Linked DNA regions of Lonchura striata. The protein of the gene in region 1 purifies or fractionates together with the protein of each later gene. This does not show direct contact. Links are inferred from orthologs where the notes say so. Each region holds a gene or a part of one and is shown in the gene's direction. Other genes may lie near its edges.

Region 1 (15,254 bases):
CTTTGCTTGAGGTATGACAGGCAATGCATACTTTACCATGGCTGTTCTTTAATGTTGCTGCCTCCTTCAAATGCCATTTGGTTATATTCAGGAGCTCACTTAAGAACTGTGTGGAAGAGCAAAGGGACAGGGCTTGGTAGAATGTCTGTGGATGCTTCTAGGAAAACTTGTCTTTTGACAGGTTTATTCTTGCCATCTGTCAGGTGGACTGGAAAGAGGTTGAAGAAAAGGGAAGATAGGAATGGACCTATACCAAACAGAGAAAAACTTTAAACAAAGTATTGGAGGCTAACTGTAGGCAAATGAAGCAAAGAAAGTACAGAAGACCAAAACATGAAGCAGACCAAAAGACATGGAATGCTGAATGAGGATGAAAATAGTGAGGGAGAGGAATGTTTGCATCTTCCATACAATTGAGGGTCTAGTAGTTGCCAGATGTTAAGGTGTGGCCAACTAAAAAGGCATAAAGACTTTACTGTATACTTACACTTCTTTATATGATTTCATTTACAGGGATTTTCTGAATTGTTGTATTGCTTCCAATTGATATTTATAGCCATTTTTATTCTTATTTAATGCACTTCTCTCCCCCACCTTCCTCTTAAACATTCCCACTGTCTTGTTACTGTCTACTTCAAATGTCTCAAATCTGTTGTTCTTCAGCACTTAAATAGTCCCAATAGTTCATAGCAGTAGCCTTTTGGGATACAAGTAGCTTCTCTACTAATTCTGCTGCTCACTTTAGTATTTTACAGACTAAGAAATAATGAATGACTAACACTGTTAGGATTTCTGAACAGACACTTTGGGGATAAAGCCATCAGCAGCATTATTACATCTTTCAGAGCATTGTCCCTATAGAGTGTTCTGTTTTAAAGACAGAACAGTGCTGCGCAGTAATTTTGATTTACAATTATAAAGCCTCACACAAAGCCTTACACAAATTATTCCATCTGAATGTATGACAAACTTTCTGGAAGCATCAGCAATATTTCTGAGGATTTCTTGCTTCACTGCATTTACCTTGTTAAGTATTATTTTAAAAAGAAACTGGTTTACAAAAATCATAGAGTAAATAGAGACAAAGTGCTATTGCTGTTGGACTACCTTTTGTTCAGCTGGAAACCACAATCCTATTCCTTCCTTTGCAGCAGGAAAGTGAAACTGGAGATCTGTCATTCTTGGGTCCTGCTTTCTTTGTGAAAGCAAACTCTAAAACTAAGAACTTAATTCTGTACTTTAACACTGCTTTATTATACAAAAAAACCAATTTATTAAATATAGCATCTCTCATTCTTCAGAAAGAAAAATACATGCAGAGAGGTACATTTTTTGTTCACATTATTATTTCTCCCTTGAAATAAGTATGACTTTTTCCTGTCCTGTTCAAAAGAATAGGACAAATTTCAGGTTTAGGTGTGCTTCTAAATGAAGCATTTAAATATTGCCTGCCTTCTCAGTACTACACATGATGGGAGTTCACACTCCTCAAACATTATTCTTTAGGCAATTGCCTTTCAGTGATCAATTAATATCTGAAATCTTAGTTATTTCATCTTTCACATCCTTAATCTCAGTTTGAACTCTTGTTAGATTGGCCAATTTCTCATTCAGTAAAGCAATTTCTTTCTGCCGTTGCAAAACTTCCTCCACTAATCTTCCTATTCTCAGTGTTAGGTCATTTATTAAGGGCTCCAAGATGGCAAACTCCTTTTTAACTCTGTACATCTTAGGTTTCAAATCATTTGCAAATGCAACTGTCTTCAGAACTTTTGCTCTGTCACCTTCAAGATTCAAAAGTCTATCAGAATGCTTGTCAAAATTGCTCTTTAACTCAGACAGTGATGTCTTAATTTGCTCAATTTTTCTTGCGTTACTGGATGCCAGGCTTTGTATTTTCGTACTTCGGTCGATGCTACTGGTAAGGAGGTCACCTATATTTTTTACTGTTGCCTTTTCACCTTTTTCTACTTTATCTTCTAATGTTTGCAAAGAATCTGTCAGTGCAGTCATGTCTGAGACCAGGCCTGAAATGCGCCTTATGTCAGTTTTTACTGTCACAATTGTCAATGTTATGTTTTTTGCTACAGAAGCTGCATCCTGTTCAGCGCTTGAAACTGCATGAAAAAGGCTTGTTAAATTCTTCTCCAGTTCTTCTTGTTTTTTAATTATGCTGCTAGACCATGTTTTCATTGTATAAATATCTTCCTGCAGATATTTAATGTGAGAAATTATTTGAAGATCTTCCAGTTGTTTCATTAAGTTCCAAGTCTTTTCACACTAGAGGGATACAAAAATATTTCTAGCTTAAGAACTCAATGTCAAAATTCAAGCTATACTTTAATGAAATACCTTACTATTCTGACATTCAATTTGAGTGCAAAACCTGTCTCTAGGAAATCAATTTCTGTTATAACACAACCAGATTTTTTTTTTTCTTGTCAGTATACTTAATAAATGTTAGTACTTCTTCTATTGCAACAAAAAATTACAAGAAGGTGCCACGTGACTTTCCAAGGTGACCTCTGAAAACACAAATCATCAGTTCACTGTGTTACAAGTCTATGGAAAAAAATACACAAAGTAACAACAAAAGAAACTAGGTAGTGAAAACTAAATACAAACTAAAAATATTAACTTTCCCCCCCTTAAATCTAAATACCTGGCTTCAAATTGTTTTTAATAAAAAAACTGCAAATAATCCTTAATTTAAGAAAATATTACTTTCCTTCTTTAACAAAGTGTTACTTCCTTGCTCACTACCCTCTTTCTCCACCTTTCAAGCTGTTCCAATGATCTTTAGATCAGTGACAGTACATCAGTGATCTTTGATATAGGTTTAAATCACATTATTTATAAAAAAGTGCTTTTTCATCAATGAAAAGACTAAGACCAAATTCACTTATCCCCATTCTGGTCATTTTCGAAGTTAAAGCTTTCTAAAGTTACTTCTGCTTTTGAAGATACTGCTATGTCAGGCCCTGCTTCTAGAACAGCTAGCTCATGCAGCACTTTGAACAAGCTGCCATTGGACTGGAGGCCTTCAAGAGCCTTCTGCATCACCACTGTATCAGAAACAGTTTTCAGCATGTCATTTTCCACAGCGTACAGCTGTGTCTTCAAGTCCTCTATCTTTTTCTCCATACCAAGCAATTCACTTGACAACCTAAGAATGGAGTGAATAGCATTTTCAATTGTTGGCAAATGGCTCTTGCACTCCTCAATTTTAGGTTCATAGTTTGCAAGTTTCTGATTCAGGTCTGTGTCCTTGGCTACCAGACTATTCTGTTCTTCTTCTATCTTTTCAACTGACTTTGCATCCAAGTTCAACTTTTGTTCAACTCTAGAAAATTCATCATCTTCTTGCTTTTTTAGTGTTCTGATATTTCTGGCTGTACTGTCTTCCAAATCTCTTACTCTTTCTGCAAGGGATTTAATTCTTTGGTCAACTTCATTAATTTTGGAAGTAACTTCTGTATGAATGAACTTTGCTTCAGATTTTAAACCACTAGCATTTGTGTTCATTTCATCCAGACTTCTTCTCCAGGGATTTGTAACATTTTGGAACTTCTCATTAATTCTCTGCATCTTTAGAGATAGAGTCTGTTCATTGTTCTGAATATCATTTATGGTGTTATGAAGAGAAGATATTTCCTGCCCAAACTCAGTCATCACAGAGATGGATGAGGCAGCTTCTCGCAGGATACTTTCAGAAGACTCAAGCTGCATTTACAACACAAAACAATGTCTGTGTCTACTTAACAAAAGTAACAACAGAAAACCATTTCCATTTATTAAGAGATAATAAAGTCCCTTAAAAACCACTGTACTTGTTACAAAGTTCCTCCATGGTGTGTTTCCATGGTTCCTCTTTAAAATATCATTGATTAACCTAGCATGAAAAAGTATGTCTGTTGTTGAACTTCTATAGCATATATGCAATTTTCCATGCTTGTTTTTTTTTGTCAAAAATACAGTAAATCCCATGCAACACTTTGAAATCTGTAGTATATAAATATCCAAATTACATAATATATGAATGACATAATTCAGAGATCAGTGCTGAAATAAAATCACTGGCATGAGCCATGCCATGCTTCCATCATTATTCATAATGTATCAGGGATAATTCAGCAGCCAGCACATCTTTTCTACTGGATAATGTCACACGTGGTAATATCTTTTTTCATTACTATAGTATTTTCTTATCTATCACTTTATTATGTCTTCATATTATTAGAACAGGTCTGCTACATCAAAATGCCGGTACATTTTCTTCAAATCAATGTACCTAAGAATTGCACATGAAAGAGGAATGGTAAATGAAACATGCATATATGTAAGTTCTTAAAAATACTTTAGTTTCTAAAAAATTATACTGAGATACAACCTACTGGAACAATGGCATGGATTGACATGCTTTGTCACATGAAATAGTCTCTAAATGCCTATTCACAGGCAAGTAAAACACATTCTGAAAACTTGTTTTAAAACAGGCAGTTAAATTAATGAAATAACAGTGAAGTAAGCAATGACAAATGTTCACAAAAGATCATCCAATTGAGATGTTAATTATTACCTTTTCAGAAATTAAGTTTACTTTATTTCCCACATCCAGGATTTTTTCAGCTTCTTGATGTAAAAAATTGTACTTTCTTTCCAGATCAGAAAATTGACCTGACTGCTGAAATAGAAACCTGGAAATTTCAAGCAAATAAACAGAAAACGTAACTTCTTAATTAGTATATATTAAGTATTTCAGGACCTGATTCAGAGCAAATTGTTACTGGAGGGATTTGTTTTCACAAAATTTGCTAGATCAATATATGGCAAAAAAAGAAAAACAAATTGATCTGTCTTGATACTTCTACAAAAGGTATGACAGCAAGGAAGCATTGATAGATGTCTTTGCTTTTACACTGCATGCTAGGGTAACTAAGGCACTGATGCTGCTAAGATATTTTAAAACATCTTTAACAAAGGCATTTGACCTTTACTTAAGGACTCCACCTGATGAACGGTTTATTACACTGATGAGGAAATGATTTAAAGAAAACTCTATTTCACTTCTTCTGTCCATTTACTGCCTGCTCAACGAGCACTTCCTGTCAGCCTAAGTCGCTCTCCAGGAAGATGCAGTCTCCAAAGCAGGTCTTTAGAATTCCTGAGCAAGGCACCTTCAACCTCATGTAACAGATGGAGCTTCTACAGTAACTCACTGCACGCCCATGTTTCCCTGCTTGTAAATACTGCTACTCTTTCCTGGATCCTTCTGGCTCTAACATGTTTCTGTAGACACTTAGCTCAAGCTCTCTGCTAACATGAAAATCACACACCCCACAGAATACAAAAGAAAATACTAAAATCCTCTTTAGAGAGGGTTACCTACCAGCTCACCACCAGGCAAACAGCAAGGGAAACGACACTCAAGCTTGTCCTTGAGTCCATCCAAAAGGAACTGTGATTATTGCTGGTCCTGGGACTTGCCAGCTTCCCATAATTACTGTGCTTCTCAGCCTTCTGTGAATCTTCATTGGTCTTGGATGAAGAAATACCTTTTTTCCTTGTCTTAACTTCAGACATTTTGTGGTTTTAAAAAGCAGAAGCAAAGGAGAAAGCTAGGAAAAAAAAAACAAACAAGAGAAAGGACTTGTTTTTAACTTCTTACGTTTTAAACATCCTCAAACATAAACTGTAAGTACATAAATACACCTCCAAAAATGTTTCTTTTGCTGTTCACTATGCTTCCTAGTAAAGTATCATACTTTCACTTGCTTTCTATATTACAGAGCATTGCTATCATATTTTCTCCAGCTGAATTGACTTTCCAAGCTTAATCTAACTTCATGTTTCCAGAAATATTTTGTCTGTTATAGAATAAGTTGTTTTAAACATAGATTTAAAATTACAAGGATTAAAAGTATATTTCTTTTTGTAGCTGATGACTGTCACAAGTTCATCAGCAATTTCACTGATGTACTTGTGTTTTACCTGTAGATTTAAAAAAGAATTATCATCTACACCACACTAAAAGGGGAAAGTTAATTTTTCAATTTAAAAAATAAAATTGCAAATCAAGCTTTAATTTAGTAGCTCTGCTGTAATGATTTCATGTCATCTGTAAAATCACAAACATCAGTTAACAAAAAGTCATGATAAAAAAGTTCAGAAGATTCATTAAATCATTCCTCTAGAAAACAGAAAAACTTCCTGTTGATAAAATTAAGATCAGAATAGACTGAGGCAATATGAATCTCCAGCTCATATTTTAACCATCCAAGTGAAGTACAGAGTGTAGTTTTTAAGCCTAAAATCTCCCACCATACTCCTCAAAATAGACTTGATCCTTGTCAGAGTTGCTTTAGCCTAATTTGAGACCAAATTGTTCTGCTGGGGTTTTGGATCACTTAGCAGCATTGCTGCTTAGTCACATATCAAAATAGAAATATTTGGAGATACTTACATAGTCATGTACAGGGGTAAAAGGTATTGTTTAAAATCCAATCTGTCATGCAGGTAGTTTAGAGCTGTTTGAGCCACAGTACTAGGAAGTACACTCTGAGCTTGAAGCATGGAGAAAAAAGTTTTTCATTTCCAAAAAAAAAATCCACCAAAAGAACCCCCAAACAAAACACAAAACACACACACAAAAAAACCCCAAACCAAACAAAAAACCCCCAAAAAACAAAAAAACAAACACACAAAAAACCCCAAAACAAAACCAAAAAAAACGCAACCAAAACAAAAACCAAACAAAAGAAGCCACCAAAACGGAAAAATTGTATTTTGAAGCTTTTAAAACATCTTGGGGTTGGAGAGAATATATTATTAAGTTAAAATGGAGGGAAAAAAGAGAGCTCTGAATAATAGTTAGAAAAAGAGTTTAAGAGAGAAAAGCTCTGCTTTTAAAGGACAGCTTCTGCGCGCAGCCCGGTGCGGCAGAGAGGGATGAGCCGCAGCTCCCCAGAGACCCTTCCGGACCGGTCCGCTGCCCCCAGAGTGACCCACATCCCCTCTTCTTCCCCCAAAGTGACCCACATCTCCTCTTCTTCCCCCAAAGTGACCCACATCCCCTCCGCTCCCCCCAGAGTGACCCACATCCCCTCTTCTTCCCCTAAAGTGACCCACACCCCCTCCGCTCCCCCCAGAGTGACCCACACCCCCTCCGCTCCCCCCAGAGTGACCCACATCTCCTCTTCTCCCCCATAGTGATCCACATCCCCTCCGCGCCCGGGGCCCCCGGCAAGCCCGAGCCCGCCGTGCAGGATTCCCCAGCCCCGGCAGCGCCGACCTCCGCTCTCCCCTCCCTGCGGCCGCCGCCCCGTACCCGCCGCGCTCCTCCGGCCCCAGCGGCGGGCGGGGCCGCCCTGCCCCGCAGGCACCACGTTTGCAGGCCCGGGCCCCTCCCCTGGCCGCGGCTGCCGCACGCCGCCCGCTGCGCCACGTCCGGGCCCGCCCGCCGCGGGCGGCGATCCCGGCAGCACGGCCGGGCTCGGCGGCGCGGGGCTTTGTTCGGCGGCGGTGAGCGCCGAGCGGGCCGGGCACCGAGCGGGCCGGGCACCGAGCGGGCCGGGCCGGCCCTTCCCCGCCCAGGCCCGGAAGGAGGAAGCGCTGCCGGCGCCGCCTGCCCGGGAGCCGCGGGGTAGCGGCTGCGCCTCGGGGCTCGGCGGGGCTCGGGGCCGGCGGGGCTCGGGGCTCGGCGGGGCTCGGGGCCGGCGGGGCTCGGGGCTCGGCGGCTGCCGGGGCTCCCCGCTGCCCGCCAGGTGAGCGCCGTGCTGGACGCGCAGGGACGGACCGCACCGGACCGCGAGGGTTCCGCCGGGGCAGGGCAGGGGCCGGCGGGCGGGCGGTCTGAGCGCCTCGGTCTCCATTTGGTTGGCGGCTGGCAACAGCAGCACGCTGTGAGTTAACCCTTTGTTTTGGGTGTGTTTGTGGAGCGATTTCTTCTGTATTTGCCTCGCTTGTAGCAGTATTGTTATCTGTTTAGCGTCCCCTTTCCTCCGCTGTGCGGTGGGATGAAGGTAGTGTGCAAGGCTTTCTTAACTACGTAATTTTTAGTGACTATAGGAAATTCTGTCAGCACGGCGGAAGGGGCTCTCCATCACGGGCTTACCCAAAGGCAGCTGCTCTGCGTCTGCCCAGCTCCTGAAGGAGAGGGTGCCGGAAAAGGCCAACGCTTCTGTGTGTGCTCTGTGTGAAGCTTCGACTTGTTTATGGAGCTTTCCTGGCAGGAGTGTCATCAGAGAGAGCGTTTTGGTCGATTGGGACTCTCGGAGGCGCTGATCAGTTCTTTATGCCGTAGTCAATAGTTTTCACCTGTTTTCTTCAGACATTTGGTTTTTTATGATATGGAGGGAGAATGCAAGTTTGAAGTTGCGTGTGCAAATGCTGATAAAGGAAGGTACAGCGCAGTCAATGGCAGTGTTGGTGCTCCCTCTTCCATCATGTCAGGAGCCAAGTGTCCTTGAACTTGGAGACAACAATGCGTTTATCCCGTGCAATGAGGCCAGTCCTCTTTCTCATCCTGTTGACCCAATCACATAATCCAAGGACTTAAAAAAAAATGGGGGATGTAGTGAGTGGGGAGAAGACCTTTGAATAGAGACATTTAGCAAGATGCTAGTATATGAGAAGCTTGTAGTCTTTGGTTTTGTAGTTCTGAAAGTGTTCATAAACATAAATTCATAGGAATGGGAAAAAAAAATGTGTATTTTCAGAATTAGTGCTTTGCTACTCCTTCTGATTTTAACACCAAAATTTATAAGCTGTTCTAAAACTTATTTCCTCATGCTTGTAAGTTATGTTCCCAGTCTGACTTTACTTTCCCCCACTCTTTTTCACTCTGAAGAAATATGGATGTCAAGAGTAGAAACTATTTACTTATGAATCGTCAAGCACTGGAAAATGACATCAAGACTTCTTATATTATGGATCGTATGATTTCTGATGAAGTATTGACATTACAGGAGGAGGAGAGAGTGAAGCAACAGGTAGAATTATCTCTCACTGCTATTTCTTTCCCTAATCTACTCACATATTTTACCATCCTTTTAAAAATAGTAATTTCTGACTATCTAATTCCTGTATTTATCGAATTCTAGCACACAGTTTTTGTTGCTCAATAAAGTTAAGGGCTTGGTAAATTAAAGACTATTTCTGTAACTATAAATAGTCTATAATTTACAAAGTGATAGATTAAATTATTTTTGGAGTTTCTTAGTTTTGTAATACCTCTTCTAATTTTTTTTTTTCTAGAATACACGGAAGGAGCGAGCAGCTATGCTAATAAACATTATTCTTACAAAGGATAATAATTCATATAGATCCTTTTATAATGCACTGCTCCACGAAGGGTACAGAGATCTTGCTGCACTTCTTCAGGACGGCATCCCTGCCGTCTCGTCTGGTAACAGAAAAAGTTCAATGGATGGAATGACTTCCTACGGTCAGTGTAACTACAGCAATCCCTGTGCTGGAGTGTGAACAAAAGTTGTCTTTTTTAATCCTTAGAAAGTGGCTATGTGTAATACCTGTTCCAATGAAAAAGGAGCAGTTGGTGCATTTGTTTATTTTGGTAGTATAGTAACTATGTCTATTTCTTCTGCTTAATATGGCAGGAGAATTACAACAGTTACTATTTTTATAGCTCACCTTGAAAGTGTTCATATTGAATAATGCTGATTTTAAAAGGTAGAAGAACTGATGCTCTTATTATTTTCTCTAATTTGTAAAATTTTTGTTGTAAGTGAAAGACAGACTTTCATTTGTATCTATTAAAATAAAAACTTGTAGCCTCCAAAATTCTGATATTTATTTTGAAGAGTAATCTGGAATCTCTCAACCTACATTGATCTAGTTGATCATTGATTAATTGATCTAGTTATTAGGTTACTTAATTCTTTCCATCAGATCTTTTAGTTACCTTGTATAAGTTCCATAACTTTTACCCGCATTGTCATCAGGATCATCTTCGACATGAAATAAATTTGTAGTTTCTAATGGGCAGAACCTTCTAACTGCATATGACTAACTGCCATATTTACTGGCACTCTGCATGTAGTAAGTGTCAAAGGCATGTGGAGTTCAAGGCTATCTTAGATAATCAAAGTTTATCAGTTATGTCACTTCATATAGCCACAAAGTGGGCAGATGAAGTGCACGTTTCCTTTTCTGTTATGCTTTACCTCTTTCAAGTCATGCTATCTCAGCTTAAAGCAGTGGAAGTCTTGCTTGGACCCCAGTGCTGTGCTGTGAACTGCCAAGGAAAGGCCCTACACAGCATCCTTTCTTTTTTGCTGCATCCACGGTGTGCTGACCTCTGGCTGAGAAAGTGACTTGATTGTTTGGTATAGTAATGTTGACCTCCTGTGTTTGCCACATTTTCCATGGGAGATATTAATTCTCTCTTCACTTCTAGGGATTAATGTAATAAGCTTTCCCAATGCAGTTATTAATTTGAACACTGCTTTAGGTAGGGAGCTAGTTACATGCTAAGTATTTTTATTTCTAAAAAGCAGTATTTTTTTGTTATTTGTTATTTGTAGTCCAGCATATTTTAGGGCATTTTTATAGGACATGAGGTGGGGAGGAAGCCCACTAGTTATTTTGGATGACGAGTTGTTTGGTTGAGTATGAAGAGGCATCTCATTTAGAACTCATGTTTTATTTTGATGTTTCTTGTTCTTAACTTTAGTGAAGACCATTCTCTGCGAAGGAGGCGTACCACAGAGACCGGTTGTTTTTGTCACTCGACCAAAACTGGTAGATGCTATTAAAAAGAAACTGTACTGCTTGGGAAGTGATCCAGGTTGGGTCACAGTTTATGGAATGGCAGGCTGTGGGAAGACTGTTTTAACAGCAGAAGCTTTAAGGGATCCTCAGCTCTTGGAAGGTACTTTCAGAAAAGCATCTGTATTTTTATAAAAATCACTGTAGATTTACACATATTGGACATGAATGGTGCATATGTCACCTTGAAAGTGATTTGGATTTCTTAATTTCTTAGGTGATTCTGAAATGTTTGCTTGCAATATACAACTTCCATAACCATGTGGTGGTCTAGGACCACTAAGTGTTCTATTAGTTTGTAGAAAAAGGTTTTGAATAGCTTTTCACCTTAGAATCTGCTGTGGTTTATGAGAGTACGTGCATCCTTGATTACCTTAAAATCTTTATTTCTTTTAGTGCAAAATAATATATCCAGTTATATTCCTTTTGGGCATTGCTTATAAGGTCCTCTGACTCCTTGCTATATGAGTTTAAAAAACTTTTTAATAGTAGCAGACATTTGTGGGTGATTAGTATTGCCTTAGCTTAAAGTAGATCATAGATACAAACATTTAATGGCATTTTTTCTATTTTATTTATTTTTCCTTGCATAGGACACTAGGAGGAGAAAGTAGGACTTGGCATTAAAGAAAAAACGATGTAGGGTTAGATACTATAGCATCCTCTGCTACAGCTGACTCATCTAGGTATCTTCTTGATCACTGTCATACCCCAGGCTCTGAACTCTTGCAGTACTACATGGTTAAAAATGTAAATGGTAGGTCAGACGAGCAGAAAGATGGATGCAGAAGGGGCTGTGGAGGGACAGGAAGGAAGACGTGTAGAAAGGAGGGACAACAGCATCAGTGATGGTGTGAAATTTCTGTGGGTACTTGTCTTACAGAGTCTGTTCCTTTTAAAAATAAACAGGAGTGGTCTTGTAGAACCACCCTTGTGTGTTAATAGCAGAGTTGCAAGGATGGCTTGCAACAGATTTTAGAGATTTGTGTTTCAATTAATGCTGACTTACTGCTGTAAGTTGCTATAAAATATTTTAAATTATTTAAAATGTATGGCATGATTAATATTGCTTTTCTTGTTAGATTACTTTCCAGGAGGAGTTCACTGGATCTCTGTTGGGAAACAGGACAAAGCAGGGCTGCTCATAAAACTTCAGAATCTCTGTAGTAGATTGGAACATGACTCCACTCTTTCACAAAGGCCACCACTTAACATTGAGGAGGCTAAAGATCGTCTTCGTTTGCTGATGTTACGCAAATACCCCAGGTGATATCACTAAAATCAAATACTTTTCTTTTACTTATAAAACTTTGCAGAGTAACTTTGGTCTAATCATCTGAGGTATCTGTGGTTTTGTTACATGTGTCAGTGGTGTGTATTTTGTTTTTTTATCCAACTTCCTAGCTTAGGTTAATAAGACTTCTAGCAACAAAATATGTTAACCAGCTGTGCAGGAGTCATATTTGTTTGAAAAAGCGAATACTGAAATAATGAAAGATGAGATTGAATAGTGAAAGATGGGAACAAACAACTGGAAATAAGGATTTCTCTAATTTTCAGTGTTCTCACTGTGTGTGTAGACTGCTTTACTGATATGTGAGGATCATACGGCAGAAAAAAGAGTGTGTATCACTGCAGAAAATTCTTAATTTCCAGAACAGATCGTGTCTTTAGAAAGTGTTTGGTCTAGAGGTGCCAAAGTGAAAGCAGGTGACCAATTATTGCCAGAAACCATTGTCTTTCTCAGTCATTGCACAGCTTTCTCAGTCATTGCACAGCTTTTTTCACCTTTGAGAAATAGTTTTTGTTATTTGCTGAGGATTTAATTATTCTCTGGGAAGATCTGTACTAAACTAAATGAGCCTGCTTGTCAATGAGTTATCTTGGGAATAATAGGCCAACTTTGTGATCTTTATAGATAACAGAGTAGAATACTGGCATTTCTGTACAGGGGGAAAAAAGATCTTTCGTTTGAAGAAAAGATGTGGGAAATATTGACAGGTCCTCCAAAAGAAATCTATCAGCTGAACATGCACTTTTCCTTGAAGGATAATAAAGTAGCTGTCTCCACTGACACATTTCCATTGTTATTTCTTGTTTATTAACAAACAAAAGAAGTCAAAACTCTTCAATACAGAAGTGGGTGGAATGGGAGGAAATAGAGAGGAATGTGCTTGGTTAGTAAGGATCATAGAGGGTGCAAGTGTATGGGAAACAAAGATTCGATACAGCTTGGGAGGAAGATGGCTCTGCTCTGGAGTTCTCTTTGCCAGCAAAAAGTCACTTTAGCTATACCTGGATTCACACAACCAACCCAGTACATCTCTTGGGCATAAAGTCTTAGACAAAGGATTCAAATTTTGAAGCCAGTATGTTTCTTGGGATTAAATTATTAGTCAAATGAAAAATGGAAACTATGGTATACTTTAAAATATGAAATTACAGAATTTAATCACCTGTGATTGTTATCACAGGGTTTTGTTTGTTGCTTTGGGATGTGTTTTTGTTTGTTTTGGTTCTTCTTTGTAACAAGGATTTTTTAAATATTATTAGAATTTAGATTTTTTGGTGTGACTGGAGGAGAAAAATCACTGGTGCCTAATGCATGGAAGGACTTTGAAGTGCTCAGATTAATTAAAAACAACAGTCGGGCTATAATTCATGTCACTCATCATCTTTTCAACCATGAAAGTGCCACAAAACGAGCCCTTTATGGCTATAATAGTATTCTTGTGAACCCTCTGATTTATCAAAAGGTTATTAATAGAAGTGTTGTATAAAAATGAGATAGGGGTATCCAAGACTTAAATATATCTTTGAGAATGTGGTCTGATATGTATGAACTTCTTTAAGGAAGATCAAATCTCTATTTATAGGTTTCAATGGTGTAAGCGCCACTTAGCTGAACAAAAATGCGGAAGTTTTGTTGTGCTTCAGTGAGAATTGGAGAACTTAACCAGTAACTAGTGGAGTGGAAAATTCCATCCCTTAAAAAACAAGCATAGTAAATGTAAACGATTTATAGGATTAGGTGTCAATAGCCAAAACTTTCTTTCTTTCCATATATCTGCTTGCCAGCTAGTCTTTTTGACTTCTTGCTCCCTTAAACTCAATGTTTTAAAAACAATTTTCAGTAACTTCTCTGTCACATATAGGCAGGTGTAGGGAAGTCTACTGTACATTATTCTGGTGAGAGTCCATGTAGGAACCTACAAATGTGGCTCGCCATACAACTGGAATATGTAGTCAGTATGAAATGTCATTTATGTAAGAAGAGACTTGCTTTACAGGAGGGTTAGTCTCATACAGCTTTCCAAAGATACAAGAACAAAATTGAAAACTCTTGAGTCAAAAGGAAACTTGAATGTTTTCCCACAAAGCTTATCACTAGCCTGTGTCAGAGTTACCTAGTTTTATACAACTCTTTTCTTAATTTGTGATACCTATTTACTTAAATCCAGTAAATAATTCTGTTTTTCCTGGCATCTACTAATGGAAATTTTTCTGAAAATGTTGTTTGCATTTCAGTTGTGGCTATGAAATAATAAATGGTAAATACCTTTTAGAGGTAACTGCATTCAGCTTCTTGCACAGTATTTAATCACAGAATCACCAAGGTTGGATGAGACCTTCAAGATCAAGTCCAGCCATCCACCCAGCACCACCAAAATCACCTTTCAGCCATATCCCCTAAGTGCCACATCCAGACACTTCTTGAATGCTTTGAGACAATGATTCCACCACCTCCCTTGGCAACTTACTCCAGTGCTTAACCACTCTTTCACAGAAAATTATTTTTTCTAATATCTAATCTGAACTGCCCTGGTACAATTTAAGGCCATTTCCTCTCATCCTTCCACTTGAGACATGGCAAAGAGACCAACTCCCACCTGGCTACAGCCTCCTTTCATGTCATAAAGATTGACGAGGTCCCCCCCCAGTCCTTCTTTTCTCCAGATGAAACAACCCCAGCTCCCTCAGCCATGCCTCTTAGGACATTTTCCAGACCCTCTGCCAGCTTTGTTACCATTCTGTGGACATACTATTAAGATATTGTGCATACTAATGTAAAAAAAATTATGCAGTGATACTTTGTAAATTATGAAAAGTTTCTTTATTAAAATGCAATACTTTATTTTAGCATTAATAGTTGATCTGAAGTATTTATTCTCTCACTAGGTCTCTTTTGGTCCTGGATGACATTTGGGATTCCTGGGTGTTAAAAGCATTTGATAATCAATGTCAGGTGCTCATCACGAGCAGGGACAGGAGTGTAACAGATGCTGTGGCTGGTAAGGAACACTTCCCTCTCCTGCACCACAGATTTTGTGTGTCTGTGTCTGCAGTTTGTTCATGTAAGCTTTCAAAATAGTCTCATAGAATCTGTCTATCAATCCGTGCACAAGTGGCAAGGCTTTAGAAGTCTGCTTCGAAAGACTTAATGTTCTCTGTGCAATAAGTGTTGT
Region 2 (15,170 bases), on another chromosome or scaffold:
AACTGGAAAGACCACAAAGACTGTATTTAAACTGAAGGGAAGTCTGGTAGAGGGAGAATGGGATTTAATAGTCCCTCCAGGGATTTGAAGAACCTTTAGGATGAAGCAGGAGAGCTACCATAAACATGTAATCTATTATTAGGAGTCAGGCGTAAATGGGTGAAAGTGATCAATACAGTAGTGAGAGATTAATAATGAGCATTAACTTGGGGGTTATAAAAAAATTAATACCAAGACATAAGGAAAGAACAGCCCTGCTGCCAAATTGTTTTAGACCTGTTTTAGATTCCTGAGAAGTGTGAACAAAAATCAACTAAACAAAACAGTCTCCAAATACAATATATTTAAATATCTTGAATATTTTTGTAAAGATTTTTGAAAATAAGGAAGCAGCAAAGGAAATATCTGTTGAAAGCAATCTCATAATAGAATGCAAATAATACACTTAAATTGCTATTTTCTGTGTGCTGACAGATTTATGATGCTGCTACACAGATTTCAGGAACATAATATTGGAACAGCTTTTTCAGGAACAGCTCATATTGGTTCAATACACATCTTAAGAAGCTGCAGAGAAGTGGGGATTAGAGAAGCAGAAACAGCACACATTCATCAGAGGTTTTTTTAACTCTAAAATAAATGAGGAATTAATCAGTTGTTTCCTAGAGAGAACCTGAAGAAGAAGAAAAACACCATTGTGTTTTTCATTGAGAATTTTTTCATTGCATTCTTCTAAGTTGTCCCATCAAAGAAGCAGATATATTTCCCTCTCCCTTCAAGCAAATCACCAGAGTTCAGGAGACTGGCAGGATCATACTCTGAATACATGGCTCAAACAGAACCTTGCTTCCAGCTAGCCCTTATCCACTGTACTTTCCCTTACAAAAAAGAGATACTAGCAAAGAATCATGGCATAAATCCCCTATGACCTTATTAATCTGTGAGATCTTCAGGTTAGCCAGGACACTGTGCCCCAGTAGTGCACTACTTCCTGGGCAAGTATTTAGAGTACAAAGAGCTCCAAGGCTACCAAAAGGATATAACTAAAATGACATGACAGGAGTCAAAGACCATTTTTTCCACTAGGAGAGGATATTCAATTTCTATCCCACTTTCACACATTTCAGAAACAATGAGATTTTAGTTGTTAAAAGAGGTGATTTATGCATTTGTTAGGACTCAAGGAGAGTCCTGGGGAGCATCTAGAGGACTTTGTACGAAAATAACCGAGCAGCATAATAACAGATGAAATGTAAAAGTGAAGTATAAAGAAACTTACTGCAAAGAACTGCTGAAGACAACTCAGCCATAAATGGATTTTTAGATGGTTGTTACCTATTGGAGGAATTTGTTTAAAATAAATGCAGACCCCTGCCTTTTGCTGTGTTTCTAGTACAATTCAGGACAGCAGAAAAGACAGAATATTGTGTTATTTGGATATCTTGTTCACACTTCCTAAGTAACAAAGAGCAAAAAAGTCTGGGAATATGATGAAGGCAAAAAGATTGACATATTTTTTTAAAAGCCTTAGAGACATGTCCTAACAACATCAGAAAAACATCTTCCACACTAGCAGTTTGGATTAAGCGTTCTCAGAGCTCTGAAACTCCGTGCCTTAGGATTATAAACTCATCCAGGGTAGTTTTTTGTGTCTGCAAGACATCCAGCATTCATCACTGTCAGAAACAGCACTAAACCTATAATCTGGTCTGATAGAACACTTGACGCATACCTGAAGTCTGATGTAAAAAGAAGCAATGAAGCTGGGCTATTAAAATCTGATTCCAAAAATACCAGCCAGGGGATTACTTGGTGACCAAACTCATGAAAATTTGACACAATAAAAAAGCATAGTAAAACAAGCATAAGATTCTTACAGGGAGGAAATCCACCTCTCCACTGACAGAAACACCCCATATGTTCTACCACCTGCAGGAGTGACTTCCTTTCTAGGAAGAAGACAATCCATGAACATGTTTTCTCAGGTCTTGGTCAGGCTTCACATTCAACAGCTTCTCCTGATGCTGTACACAGAGGCCTTGTAGCTCTGTAGAGAACTGGGTTTACGCTTAGAAGACTTAAGCCTGCCAAAGCACACCAGTTCAATTTCTGTCAGAGTGGAGAGAAATTTGCCAGTTTATGGCCTCATCTCTATTTTATAAAGGTTTCTCCTTTGAAAATTCTAAGGTAAGCAAGGCTTTTATTTTTAAGACCCACATGTGACTCTTGGGACCATACTAGTGCTCGTATTTCAAGCAAGGTTCTCCTGTCTGGCCTATACCTTAGACACAAGAACTGCATAGGCTTTAATAGATTACATTAAATTAGCACATCATCATTACATAAGGAGACCCAACCATACAAATCTCCTTACAAAAGGACTCTTAATTTTAAGCTTTTCTTGGGGCTAAGCTGATGCTTTAGAGACTGTTGCCCTTCTGATGTTTACATATTTCTACTAGCCTTCTCACACACTGTTCATGTAAATAATAGTTTTACATTATTCTTTGTGAAAAAATAAAATTGATAAGCTATTAGTTTAACCAGTGCAGTTAGAGTAAGTAGCAATTTTATCCTCCAATCCACTATCACTTTTAGAATCCTATATATTACAAAGTCAAAAATAAAAGTTGCTTCCTTTCAGTCTTTTAATCTTAGTGTGAGTGTGTGAGTTATTTCATGTCATAATACAACAGGAGACTAATTTCAGAATATCTGAATTTAGGCTGTTGCAGAAGTACTTCTCACTCTACAGCTTGGATTATTCAGAAGACTACATGCCAGCTGATCATGTAAGTGAGAGGACAGTAATCCTTGGCTCCCACAGATACACAAAGAAAATGTGCTATCAATGTAATTAATTTTCATCCCCTCCAAATAGAATACGTCACCAATTCTTCCAACTGTTTGATTCATTACAAAGAAAAAAAAATATGGAAAATGGGGTAGTTTTGACCAACTACTTGCCATCCAAAAGTTGAAATTGAGGCCAGTAGAAATTACTGTTATCACAGCATGTTTTTTGTCAGATGCAATCAGACAGTGATCAAGGACATTTATTATACCTCTATTAATTTAAAATTTGCAGTAAACTGTGGCAGACTCCACAATAGCATGACACTAAAGTTAAACACATAATGGACTTGATAAAAGAATATCCTTTCATTTGCCTTTCAGTTCTTGAAGCCTTAAAGTTAATTTTGAAGTTCTTTTTCAAAATAAACACTTATGTCTTTAAGAAAAGCTGAACTTCTGGAAAATTGCTGGGGTCCTGAATCTTTCAAATGTCCTTCTTGGTTAACTTAATTAACTTTGTCCTTGAACTTTAAAAAAATTTTTTTTTTTTTTTCTTTTCTAAATTGCTATCTTGAATCACCTCTCTTTTAAACCCACTTTCACTATGGGAAATGGATTATAAGGATTCAGAATGATTTTTCTGATAGTAAACCAGAAGCTGATGCAGTCCCATCCTAGGACAAGTCTTGCATTCAGTCCTTTCTTGCTATTCCGTGCCTCATGCAAATTACCCCAACTTCATGCACTAACATTTTATACTTGCTACTCCTCTGTACTCATTCAAACAAGATGCCTCTGTTATGTCCTTTGTTTTAAACCATCATCTTATTACAGAGAAGTTGTATCCCACACATGCTATTTTGAGGTCCAAGGTTATTTTTCTGTGAGCCCACAGATAAGAAGGCATCTATCAGTCTGCAGGCAGCTACTGAGGCAAGTGCTTGAGCAGGGCAACCCTGTGTCTCCACACAGTCAAGGCAGGTCTTGAGTCAATGTTCTCAGTTTAAGGTCTGTGTTTGTTTTAAGCTGACAAAGAGTGACTCTGAACCCTGGATCTCCTTATCTACCCAGCTCCCCACAGGCCAGATGAAAGACAGAGACTTCTACCTACCCCAGTTCTGGGGACACTTTATCATACAATAAATGGCTGCTGAATAAATCTTCATGCCTGAGGCTTAGAACCACAGCATCACAGAATGGTAAAAGTACTTTGCTATTTTCACACCTGTTAAACTCATCAGAAAATTTATCACTTGGTAAGCCATGGCATTATAATGGTTGTGCAATTGATTCAGCTGGGAGAGCTTGGCAATCTCCTAGCTTCCCACTCTGCTTTCTACTCTGTCTGAATTGGCTGCTGTCTCTACCTGTGCCTTCTGTAATTTTTTTCACAGCTCATTTAGATGCTGAGCAGCATTGCCTCACCCTGTGCCTAAGTAGAAACTACAACATCCTGGCTAGGCAATTCTCATTACTTGGCACTTAAGAGACATTCTTATGTCCCTTGGTGCCAAGTAGTTGCTTTCACAGTTTCACAAAACTCACTCTCCAAAAACACAGCAACAGCAGAAAGAATCCCAAGTTCGGCCTTCCTCTGTCAAGATCAAATCTTTCAACTGCCACTCTATACATTGGCTGTGGAAAATATTTTTATGTCCCACTCCCAAATAATTTGTCTTTATAAGATAGTAATGAGACAGTACACCAGCAGTTCTTTTAAATACGGTAATAGTTTTTTCCTTTTCAATAATGGCAATTAAGTATTTAATGCAATCCAGGTACTCAAGTCAATGTAACACTTGTCATTAAAAAAAACCCCACAACATTGTCAGAGACAACTTCACAAAGAATAAATACACTGCCACAAGAAATTACAAAAATCAGTCCTTAAAATAAAACCAAGAATTGTTTGGTAAAATATTACACAAAACTAGATGCTAAGCCAATATTTAGCTTTTCTTAAGAAGGAATTCAGTCACCTTTAGGAACTGTAGCATCTCAGAGACTGCCCTTGCAACTGTTTAAAGCAGTAGCAAAATTGGCTTATCTGTCTGAGACTGTGTAAAATACAACAACCAGCAGAGATTAGAGGCACACCATTCATCAGACATTTTTATTTCCTTTTGAGTCTCTAACGCTTTTCAACTTTGTTCCCTGCCTGTTTGGGTGAACAGGTTCCTTCTTCCCCCAGAATAGCCTGTAAAAGGCATAATAAACGCAAAGCCAGCAGTATATTCCAAGTGACAGGATTTGTACCATAAAAGTGTTGAAAAGTAACCCTAAACCCTAAAGTTTGCCACTGTGGAATATTCCTTTCTGAAGGATACTAGCATAAAAAACTTTTCAAGCACAGCCCAGAATAACTCTTTCATCTTTATAAACTGAGCTTTGAAAAACCCAAGAAGAGATATGCCTTTCTCCCAAACAATTCCAAAGGCAAAGATAAAATCAGAAGAAAGAAACAAAAAAAAAACCCACAGGTTTTCTGAATTGTTTCAATACAATTAGAAATCATAACAGTGCATGTTAGTCAGTACTACTTTGTGATGGGGTAAGATTTATGATTCAGGTCATAACTCCAATGCTTTCTTAAAACCAGCTCAACACCACAATGACTCCAGCTCAAATCGTACACTCCCCAATGCTGGCGCAGTTTGCTGATAATCAACAACAGCTCAGGGATGTCCCACTTCCACATGGCAAAGGGATGAAAACAGGCCAAGGTACTCAAACTGCATAGGGATGAGGTGATGATTTCCACAAGAAATGGGTTCTAAGTTATTTGTCAAAGACTGAACCAGAAGTTTAGCACAGAGTTGAGGGAAAAAAAAAAATCACATATTCTCCTGAGTTCCAGTCTAGGTCCATAATGCAGGGCTATGTTTTTTCTTTTATTTGCAATGTCCCTCTTAAAGAGATCTGGATGCCTCTTTTAACATGTTTTGTTTATTATTGGACTTGACACATTTGGTTACACACATAATTCTAATTGCAAAATAACAGTAGTTCCAGTGTGTAATGGCCTGAGCTAGGAAAAAGTATTCCAGGTGTAACCACAGTGAACAACTGAAAAGACTAAAATATGAGCCTTCTAGGCAAACCACACCAATGCAATTAGTCTACTGAATGTTAATGTATGTAAAGTATAGAGCACTGAAATTGCACCCTGAGTCATTTTCATTTACTCCAGCAATTCAAACCCACAAAGACAGAAAAGTCCTGCCTTCGTCTTCAGTGTTGCCTCTGGAAGCCCCACACCATACTCTGCCCTATGCAGGAAGCCAGATGCAGGATTTCACCTATATTTCACAAATATCTGCAGCGTATGTTGGAGATGCCACATTTAGAAGGGAAGCCAAAAATTTCACTATTAATCTGCCCTATGACAGAACATTTCAAAAAGTAAGCACTGGGCACCTTGAACAGCACCCTTTCTTACACCTTCTACTTTACTTACAGATCAGTTCTTACCATGGTGTTGCCTCAGATCCAACCTTAGTAATGCCCAAATGGGCTCAAACAGATATGAGAAATTCACTCCATTTGAGATACCTCTTTTTATTGTGAAAACACATCCCCTAACCTACTATCTTGTTGTATCAGACAGCATCTCTGCTTCCACTAATAATACAGTATGGGAATGCACTAATATTCTGTTTGTATCATTTACACCTTCAAGAAAGCGTATTATATCATGACTGCTGGCAGCTAGTCACAGAGCAGACATCTGCATGGTCCGGTCTGAGGCTGAGAAAATAAGAGTTCATTTTACAGACTGATTTTAGCATGCTAATCTTTAACACTGGAAAGCTCAAATGTTGAGTATTTTCCCCGAAAGCATTATTTCCTTACTTCAGAAGTTTAATAAAAAGCAATCCGGTTACCTTGAATTAAGCTGGAGTTTTCAAGAACAGCTTCTTGGAAAAAAACTGAATAAATATTGCTACACTTTTCCTCCCCATCAGAAGGGTTAACTGTGAAACACAACATGAAGTTCTCAGAATGGAGCATACATATTTAAAAGGCAAAATGCAATAGAAATAAAAAGAGCTACAGATGCCTGAAGTTTGTGTTCTGTGAAGAAAGGGAGAACCTCTGAATAGATGTCAGCACGCATCAGTCCACAAGTGCTTAAAGAGGCTTAAGAATTTACACTGGTGCAATTTCTTAGAGCAGCTTAAAAGGTGCTTTCAGCTCCCTTCTTCTTTAGAGATAGAAGAGACATGGTTTTATCACAGATCTTGTGATACTAAGTTACATCCGGCCCTTGGAATCATCTAAGGTAGAGAAGCCTTACTAAATTAAACTCAGTCCTTGCAATCATGATAAGTCTAAAAACAAGAGTGAAAGGCACCGTGAAGGTTCAAAACCACACAGCAAATGAAAGAAACAGAGGATGCCTTTAGTTTTTAAAATAATATTTTTCCAGTCAACCTCATAATTATGGGAATCTGACATGATTTGAGATTTGAGTTGTGCAACAACAGCAGAATTCAACGTCCTGATTTAAAGTGGTTTCCTTGCACATATTTCCTCACTCTTCATGAAGTACATGAATTTATCTGTATATCATAATCAAAACAGTTTTACTGTGGCTAGCGAACTGTCAATCAGATTACAGCATAAATTGCTAAAAGTTTAAGAATGTGTATTTTGTATATACTTTGTGATGAAGTGTTAAAAAATGCACAAAACCTGTGTCTTATGCTCTAGACACCGTGAGCTTTGGAAGGCAATGCACTGTCTAAACTAGGGAGTGATGATTTCTGAATGGTCTTGTGAATTATCTACAAAAATTCTGCCATCAGAGAAACCCCTGATGTATTTTTACAGTCCTCATTCCTTTCTGCTTCATGTTAACACTTCACATGAGCCCTGCCCCATGGGCAGTTCGAGGGGCACACCCATACCAGTTCCAGGACAACATAAAAGCACACACAGAAAATAAAATGTTTTTCCAATGTCAGACAGTGAAAAATTCTGACAGTTTTAATGTCCATAGTAAAGCAAACAGTTCAACTCTTTTGAACACTGGACATTACTACACTGGGCTTTTCCAACAGCTCTTCCTCCTTGCCGAGGAGGGTGAGATGGCAGGCATGTCTGGAATTCACCATTAAAATTCTGCTTGGAAGGCCACAATGTGTGAATATTGACATGTCCTCTTGGAGCACTCCCACACTGCTGGGCTGGCATTTGGGACGCTTTCATGCCTTCAGGCGGCAGTCCCCTCCACAGGGCTCTCGCCTGTGTCAGAGCGGCGCGGCCGCAGCCGGCACGGCCGGAGGGTCAGCCGCTGCCCTCAGCCCATGGCCGCGCCGTGCCGGCAGCGCCCCGCCGCGCTCTCCGGGGCGACTTCGCCTCACTTCGGCTACGGCAGCGCTTCCGCACCACTATTCCCTTGGCTCCTCTGGGAAAGCTTTTGAAACTCAGGGACAAGCTGGTGAAGGGTCTGGAGCACATGCCCTGTGAGGAGCAGCTAAATGAGCTGTGGGTGTTTGGCCTGGAGAAAAGGAAATTCAGGGGACACCTTATCCGCTCTACAACTCCCTGAAAGGAAGCTGTAGCCAGGTGAGGGTCGGCCTCTCCCAGGCAACCAGTGACAGGAGGAGAGAATACAGTCATAAACTGCACCAGGGGAGGTTCAGGCTGGGCATCAGGAAGAATTTCTTCCCAGAAAGGGTGGTTAGACATTAGAGTGGGCTGCGGAGGGAGGGAGTGGAGCCGCTGTCCTTGGAGGTGTTTAAGAGTGGACATGGCACTCAGTGCCATAGTCTGAAGGACACGGCGGAGTTCATTCCATAGAACGGACTCGAGGACGGAGGTGTTTCCTGCCCGCACCGACGCTGTAATTCCGTCACGGCGCCTTTTGCGGCCGCCCTCACGGCCCGACCGCCCCCGGCCGAGCCGGCCCCGGGCGCGGCTCCGGCTGCGTCACTGCTCGGGCCCCGCCCACCGCCCGGCCGCGCGCTCAGGGCGCCGCGCGACCCTTGCTTCCATTGGCGCTGTGCGCATGCGCTCACAGCACTCGCGCCCCTCTGCTGCGCGCCCCCTCCGCCGCAGATGACGTCTGACGTCACTGGCCGGGATTGGAGGGAAGAGGGGCAGGAAGGAAGGAAGTGCGGGGGCCCGCCGGTCTCAACCTACCCCACTAGCCGCCGGCGCCGTGACGTCAGCTGATTGCAGCCAATCAGAACTCCAGCGGCCGGCGCCTGATTGGTTGTCGCGGCGGAGAGGCGGGCGGTGCGCCGCGGGGTTGGTTGCGGCGGTGCCGGGTTACTTAGGGCGGAGTCCGCGTGTCCTTGGGCGCAGACGGAGCGGGAGGTGCCGGCGGCGCGGTCACGGTGTCTGAGGGCGCAGCGGGCCAGCCGGGCGGGCAGGTGCGGCCGGGCCCCGCGGGGTGGCGGCGGCTGGCGGGGACATGGGGCGAGCGGGCCGTGCGCTCGGCCGCCCTGAGGCCATTCCCTCCTGCCGCGGCCTGAGGCGGCGGCGGGGTGCGGCGGAAGGTCACCGTGGGGCCGGGCGGCCCACCGCGGGTGCGGGCCTGAGGAAAGCTCAGGGCCGGGCTGGGCGCGGGCAGAGCCGGGGCCAGGCGGGGCGGGCGCCCTTGGGCGCTCCCGCTGCTGACGCGTGGCTGCCGGCCGGACCCCTGGGGTCATCCCGGGCCGTGGTGACAGCCGGGCGCCCTCCCGCCCTCCCGGGTGCGTGGCTGGTGCGCTTTTTCAGCTGAGAGGAAAAGCCTGTCAGGTGTCCTGTGCTTTTACACGTGGTCGTTCGCGACTAGGGAATTCCAGTTACTGTTGTACAAGTTGCGTTAAATTTGTTCCTCAGAAATTGTCGCCGTACCCTTTAAATGCTGTGGGGCAATTAGTTTGTATGAGGGAAGGTTTTTCCCGCCCTTCAAGTGTGTTTATCACCTTGATACCTTTTAGGTCGTCTCGTGGGTTCATACTGATTTTCAAGCCCAGGAGCTGTGGCTTGAGGATAGACAGTGTGCTGGAGAATTGCCAGATTCATGTGCTGCTTATGTTGGTTTTGTAAACCTACGGGATGCTTTTTAAAAGTTTCAGCTCAGTCGGTGACCTTGAGGTTGCAATACTGACCTCTGTGTGTGTTCTTGGTCTAGTACTGACAATGGGAGACGTTGAGAAGGGCAAGAAGATCTTTGTTCAGAAATGCTCCCAGTGCCACACGGTTGAAAAGGGAGGCAAGCATAAGACTGGGCCCAACTTGAATGGCCTATTCGGACGCAAGACTGGGCAAGCTGAAGGTTTCTCTTACACGGATGCTAATAAGAACAAAGGTAAACTTAAAGCTGTCCTTAGGGGACAAAATTACTCAGTTCTTGGTGGTAATTTTAAAAATTTGCCAAAAATTGAGCAGAGGACAAGAATATATGTGTTTACTATTTTGAATTTATTAACTCTTCTCTTTTTACCTTCTTTCAGGTATCACCTGGGGTGAGGATACTCTGATGGAGTATTTGGAAAATCCAAAGAAGTATATTCCTGGAACAAAGATGATTTTTGCGGGTATTAAGAAGAAGGGCGAGAGAGCAGACTTAATAGCATACCTCAAAGTTGCCACTGCAAAGTAAAAGTTATCTGCTGCCTTATTTATTTCACAAAGGAGATGGCAATGGAAATGTCTGTGATGAGATTGGTTTTTAAACTTTCTATTTTTACATGTACTGTGTCTAACCTTAAAATCTGTCTCACCCATCAGATGACTTTGCTCACGGTGGGTCACTGGAGTACACACTTGTTTGGCAGCCATTAACTTAACAAAGACTATGTAATTGGGTACAGTCATCCTTGATCATAAAGATTAAAAGAAAATAAATAAACATTTCCTGCCTCTTCATTGTTTTAAAAAATATGTAAATAATCAAATGAGTAATCATTAACAGTGTAATAACTTTTGACAGCTCAACTCCTGAAGATCAAAAAGCAGGGTGCTTTTTGGCATCTTCTGCCATACATCTTCTGTTACATTAACAACAAAGGCTATTAAAAAACCCAATCCCAGTATAATATTTTTCTAAATTTAATCAGTGCTAGGTGTTGCAATATGTATTAATCTATCTAAAGCTTGTGATAAAAATGCATTTCATCTGATTTAAGTACTATTTGTGAACTGCCAGTTGTGCCCAGCCACTTGTCTTTTATCTAGGGGAAGCATGTTACCTAATTTATCCAGACTTTGACAGCTGCATGCACCCATATAATTCCCCTTCAGAAACATTTCCAGTTTTGATGTGTTATTGATGCCCTTTGCTCAGTAAATCTTCTGATAACAGCCATTCTTAGTGTAAGAGAAAGCATCCTCTTCTGGGAATACGTGTGCTAGTGGCCAAGCTGAGAGTTATTTAATCTTCTTAATTCAGCAGAAACATTCACCTAGAATTCATTGTTATTGAAAGTTTCAGATTAAGGGATACGGGAATGATTGTGCTGGTAGACTAAAACACAAAATCAAGCAGTCTTCCTCTGTGCCTGGCTGTAGCCACCATCATTACTTCTGAAGGTTCTGTTTCGCACATTGTAAAGCAGTATTTTTAATGTTTTATCTGCATTTTTTTCATACTAAGTTGTTCAGAAGAATGTATTTACTGTGTACCAACAGTAAGGCATAATTTGGAGCAATCAATACTGTAAATTAAAAAAAAAATTAAAAGTCTTGCTTGCTGTATGTGTATGAAATTAAGTGGAAAAACAGTGGGAATGCAGAGTAAAGTTTGGTGCCCAGATTTACATCATTAGGAAACAAGACAAAAAAAAATACACGTGGAAAAAGGTCAATTCTAATTAAATTGGTGGGGGCAGTATAAGTGTGGCAAAGTTAGTATTTTGGACCAGAGCCAGCAAAGCTCTTCAGGGATATGCTGTCTAACAGCATTTTTTGCTGTGTTTCCAGAGTGAGATGGTAGATGACTCAAGGTAACTCAAAAGCTGTAGCTGTGCTGTAGGATAAGGCTGCATTTGATTTGTGTGGAGTAATGTACTTAATAATGGAATGGCAAAGGGCTTTACTCAGTACATGAGTGAAAAGAACTAAGATTACTAACAGTGGTCTCAGTGATTGCTACCATATGTGTTGTGATTAGTTTTTTTTTCTGGTCTAACCTGCAAACAGCATTTCTTGCAGTTTTGGATACACTATTAAACAACAGGTGTTTTTTACTAAAATCTTGTTAACAGAAAACTTCACATTGTAGTATTACTGTTTCAAGTTTTATAAGTGCTGTTTGTCATAGCACTTTCATGGCTATGCAGAACTGAGGTTTTTTCCATGCCAAAATCCTGACAGAGCAGTTGTAGATACAGAGTGTAACTGTACCCAGTTCTGCAATCTTCCAGGATGATGAAGGTGAAGAGAGTTGTGACACTTTGTTCTGTTAGCACCTTTAGGAAAGAAGACTGGTCTCCAAGCAGCTCCTTACAATTTGTTTCTTCTCTATATAAATTAGGGAAGAGGATTTTTCAGTAAAGCCTGGTAATTCTGCACAGATAAGCATTTGCAACAAGTAAGTTACCCATCATCAGAAAAACTTGAGGAAGCCGATATCCTTTGCCCAAAGTAAGCAGAGGATGGCTCTTCTATTTGTGCAAAGACAAATATTACTTCTACATAACACTGAAGGCTGAGAAAATTTAATTGTAGATGAAGCTTGCATCCTTGATAATATTTTAGGGAAAAGACCTTTAAAATTTCATCTTTCTAGGTATACAGCCCTAGACTGCAATAGCTTAAAAGTTTTGTAGTAGGTAACTAGCAGCCATTTGCCACTGGAGAAGCAATACTATGGTGTTTTTACTAAAGGATAAGAAAGCAAGGCTTATTGGAAGGAGGTTAGATTATCACTTGAGGTAAGTGTTAATGCAAGGGGCCTTGGGTGGTTCTTTGCAGGGTGGGAAGGAGACATCATGATCGGTTACATAATCAAACTTCAGTTCTTCTTTTCTAAGTTTATATTACAGAGTAGAGGGGTGGGGTTTGCCTTTGTTTCATGAAGTATTTAGTGTAGTGGTTTCCAGTCTGACAGTGATACCAGTCTAGACACTTGGTATTTCAGTAGGTCCTTTACAGTTACCAATTAGGGAATCAGTACCACTGCCAAACATAGCACCATCCTGTAAAAATTGTGCTTGGCTACTAGTTCGCAGCTTTGCTGGGGCATACCTTTGAAACTGATACTGTCATATTTTCATGTGTAGTTACGTAAATGAATGAAGATTGTTAATGACTGGAAAAAAGATGTAATCCAAAAGTACACCTTTTCATAGCACGACTTCCAAATAAGTAGGATACTTACAAAGCTAAAAAACGTACTAGTTGTACATCCAATTGACATTTAGTAATACAGAACTTGTCATGTGTATTTAGAGTCTTAACAATTCAAGTGTAACCACTCTACCACCAGTTTGGGCAAGTTCAATTTGTTGCTGCCTGTACAATTGTAAATAATTGCTTCAGATAAAGATCTTCATTTTAGTAGATTTAGTCTTGTATGGGATTTTGTAATACTTTCCTTTTTTATATATAAAATATAGCATCAGTTTCTAAAAGAAATGTGGTACACTATCCTCTTCCTGTTCAGGGGGGAGAACAAAACCAGCTAATAGGTAATAATTAGATACTCTAGTCCCTCACATACATCAAAGCCCGTTGAAATGCACACGTTTACCTCTATAGTAAGCCTTGTCATTTGTCTTTATCCAAACCACGTTCTGAAATCTCATCCAGGGCTAAAGGCAACAGAAGTCTGTTTTACTACGTAGAGGATGAGTTGAACCATTTCAAACTGATGCCCTGAAAACCAGATTATTCTGGGAGGTGAGCAGCCCAGAGCTAGCAGTAGGACATGTTAACCGTGGGAAAGAGTATGAAATCCTGCCCCTTCCCAGTGCTGCGAATGCTGAATCAGGACTCCAGGTAGCTGTCACTCTGCTCATGATTTAGAGCTTGCATGTGAGTACTTGCATGTTTTTTTCTAGGATTGTTCTTTTGATCTGAAATACAGAAAATATGATGGTCACCTTTTGAATATTTGCTTTCTGCTTAGAAGTCAGTGTCACAGGAGGTAAAAGAAGTGGGTGGTGTTTGCTTCTGTAACACCATTCAGATTCACATCCTCAGTTTCCAGAAGGCTGCCATAACCAACAGACTGAACCTGTGTGCTGGGAAGAAGATGCTCTGTGCCTCTGTTGAAGCTGTCATTATGCAAAAGGAAAGCCAAAAATAAAATTAGCAAAAGAGGAACTAGCTATAACAAAGTGTTCAAAATACATACCTGGGAGCAGGGGAGGTGTGCTCTCTCTAGGTTATTTATGCATTTAATTTTAAAGAGCCTTGGATAAAAATAAACCTGTCAGTGGAGATCAGAAGTCATTAACTCTGCTGGTTTTACATCTCATTAAAGCTGTTCAGTGCAGCTTGCTTATGCAATGTGAGCCACAGCTTCTTTTCCTTTCAGAATCACCCACTCTCCAGATCCATCTTCCCTTTCCTCTATGTGTTAAAGCATATTTTTGTGTGTAAGTCTGTGCTGTCCCTGTCTTACCCACTGCCAGTCTTCTGGTCATAAGCACTCAAATGAAAAGCAGAAATACCAAGCTGTATTTTCACCCTTAGAATAATTCACAGAAATTGACTTCTGGTGGCCCCATTCAGTTACAAGTGTCTGGTGACAATTTCTTGTTAAGATGTTTCATAGTTCTTAAGATATGGGACATTGCCTTTTATTGGTGTTTTTTAATTCTAAATTTTTAAGAGCTAACGAAAGCAGGTAGTTTTGTGTGGCTTTTACCTTCACTTTGCCTCAGGGTTTATTTTTTTACTATGAGATACAACATGATTATATGAGCATTCCCTGATGTATAGGGATAAGAAGAAAGATGCACACACACTGCATTTTAAAAATATGGTTGTCACCTATGTGGAACCAGTACCCTCAATAATCTGGTGCTCTTAGCCAGATTTCATTGCAGGAGTGCTCCTACATTGACTGTAACCAGCCTTTCCCTGGCAGTATGTATCATATTTCTACTTTTACTGTTGATTTTTTTGTTTGGAGAACAGAGAGGAAAGGAAATCAGACTTCTCCATACCTTGCCATGTTTCCTATAAGACTTTGTAATTTTATTTCCAGTTATTTAGTCCATTTATTTGCTATTGATCACAGAATCACTGAATCATTTCAGCTGAAAAAGACCTCCAAGATTATCAGGTCCAACCAGTGACCAGCCACCACCTTGCCAGCTGGGCACTAAGTGCAAACAATGTCCAGTTATTCTTGAACACCTCCAGGAATGGTGAATATCACTTCCCTGGGCAGTCCATTCCAGTGCTTAACAACCCTTTCCTTAAATAAA

The links.
Region 2: the proteins of APAF1 (region 1) and CYCS purify together in Homo sapiens (affinity purification with western blotting; 3 studies listed by BioGRID and IntAct, with this or other methods). This does not show direct contact. The link is inferred for Lonchura striata from reciprocal best matches to the Homo sapiens genes APAF1 and CYCS.

The regions. Positions count from the first base shown.
Region 1 is NC_134607.1:55,457,649-55,472,902, forward strand, and holds the start of APAF1 (apoptotic protease-activating factor 1), read left to right. Parts: upstream 1-7,703; 5' UTR 7,704-7,763; intron 7,764-7,773; exon of another isoform or gene 7,774-7,901; intron 7,902-8,848; 5' UTR 8,849-8,852; coding exon 8,853-8,990; intron 8,991-9,255; coding exon 9,256-9,445; intron 9,446-10,693; coding exon 10,694-10,891; intron 10,892-11,870; coding exon 11,871-12,054; intron 12,055-14,967; coding exon 14,968-15,080; intron 15,081-15,254. Other genes in the region: IKBIP (inhibitor of nuclear factor kappa-B kinase-interacting protein), read right to left, coding at 2,899-3,723, 4,580-4,697, 5,390-5,583. UniProt on the Homo sapiens protein: Oligomeric Apaf-1 mediates the cytochrome c-dependent autocatalytic activation of pro-caspase-9 (Apaf-3), leading to the activation of caspase-3 and apoptosis. This activation requires ATP. Isoform 6 is less effective in inducing apoptosis.
Region 2 is NC_134603.1:124,383,557-124,398,726, forward strand, and holds CYCS (cytochrome c), read left to right. Parts: upstream 1-9,041; 5' UTR 9,042-9,176; intron 9,177-9,922; 5' UTR 9,923-9,930; coding exon 9,931-10,099; intron 10,100-10,244; coding exon 10,245-10,393; 3' UTR 10,394-11,475; downstream 11,476-15,170. UniProt on the Homo sapiens protein: Electron carrier protein. The oxidized form of the cytochrome c heme group can accept an electron from the heme group of the cytochrome c1 subunit of cytochrome reductase.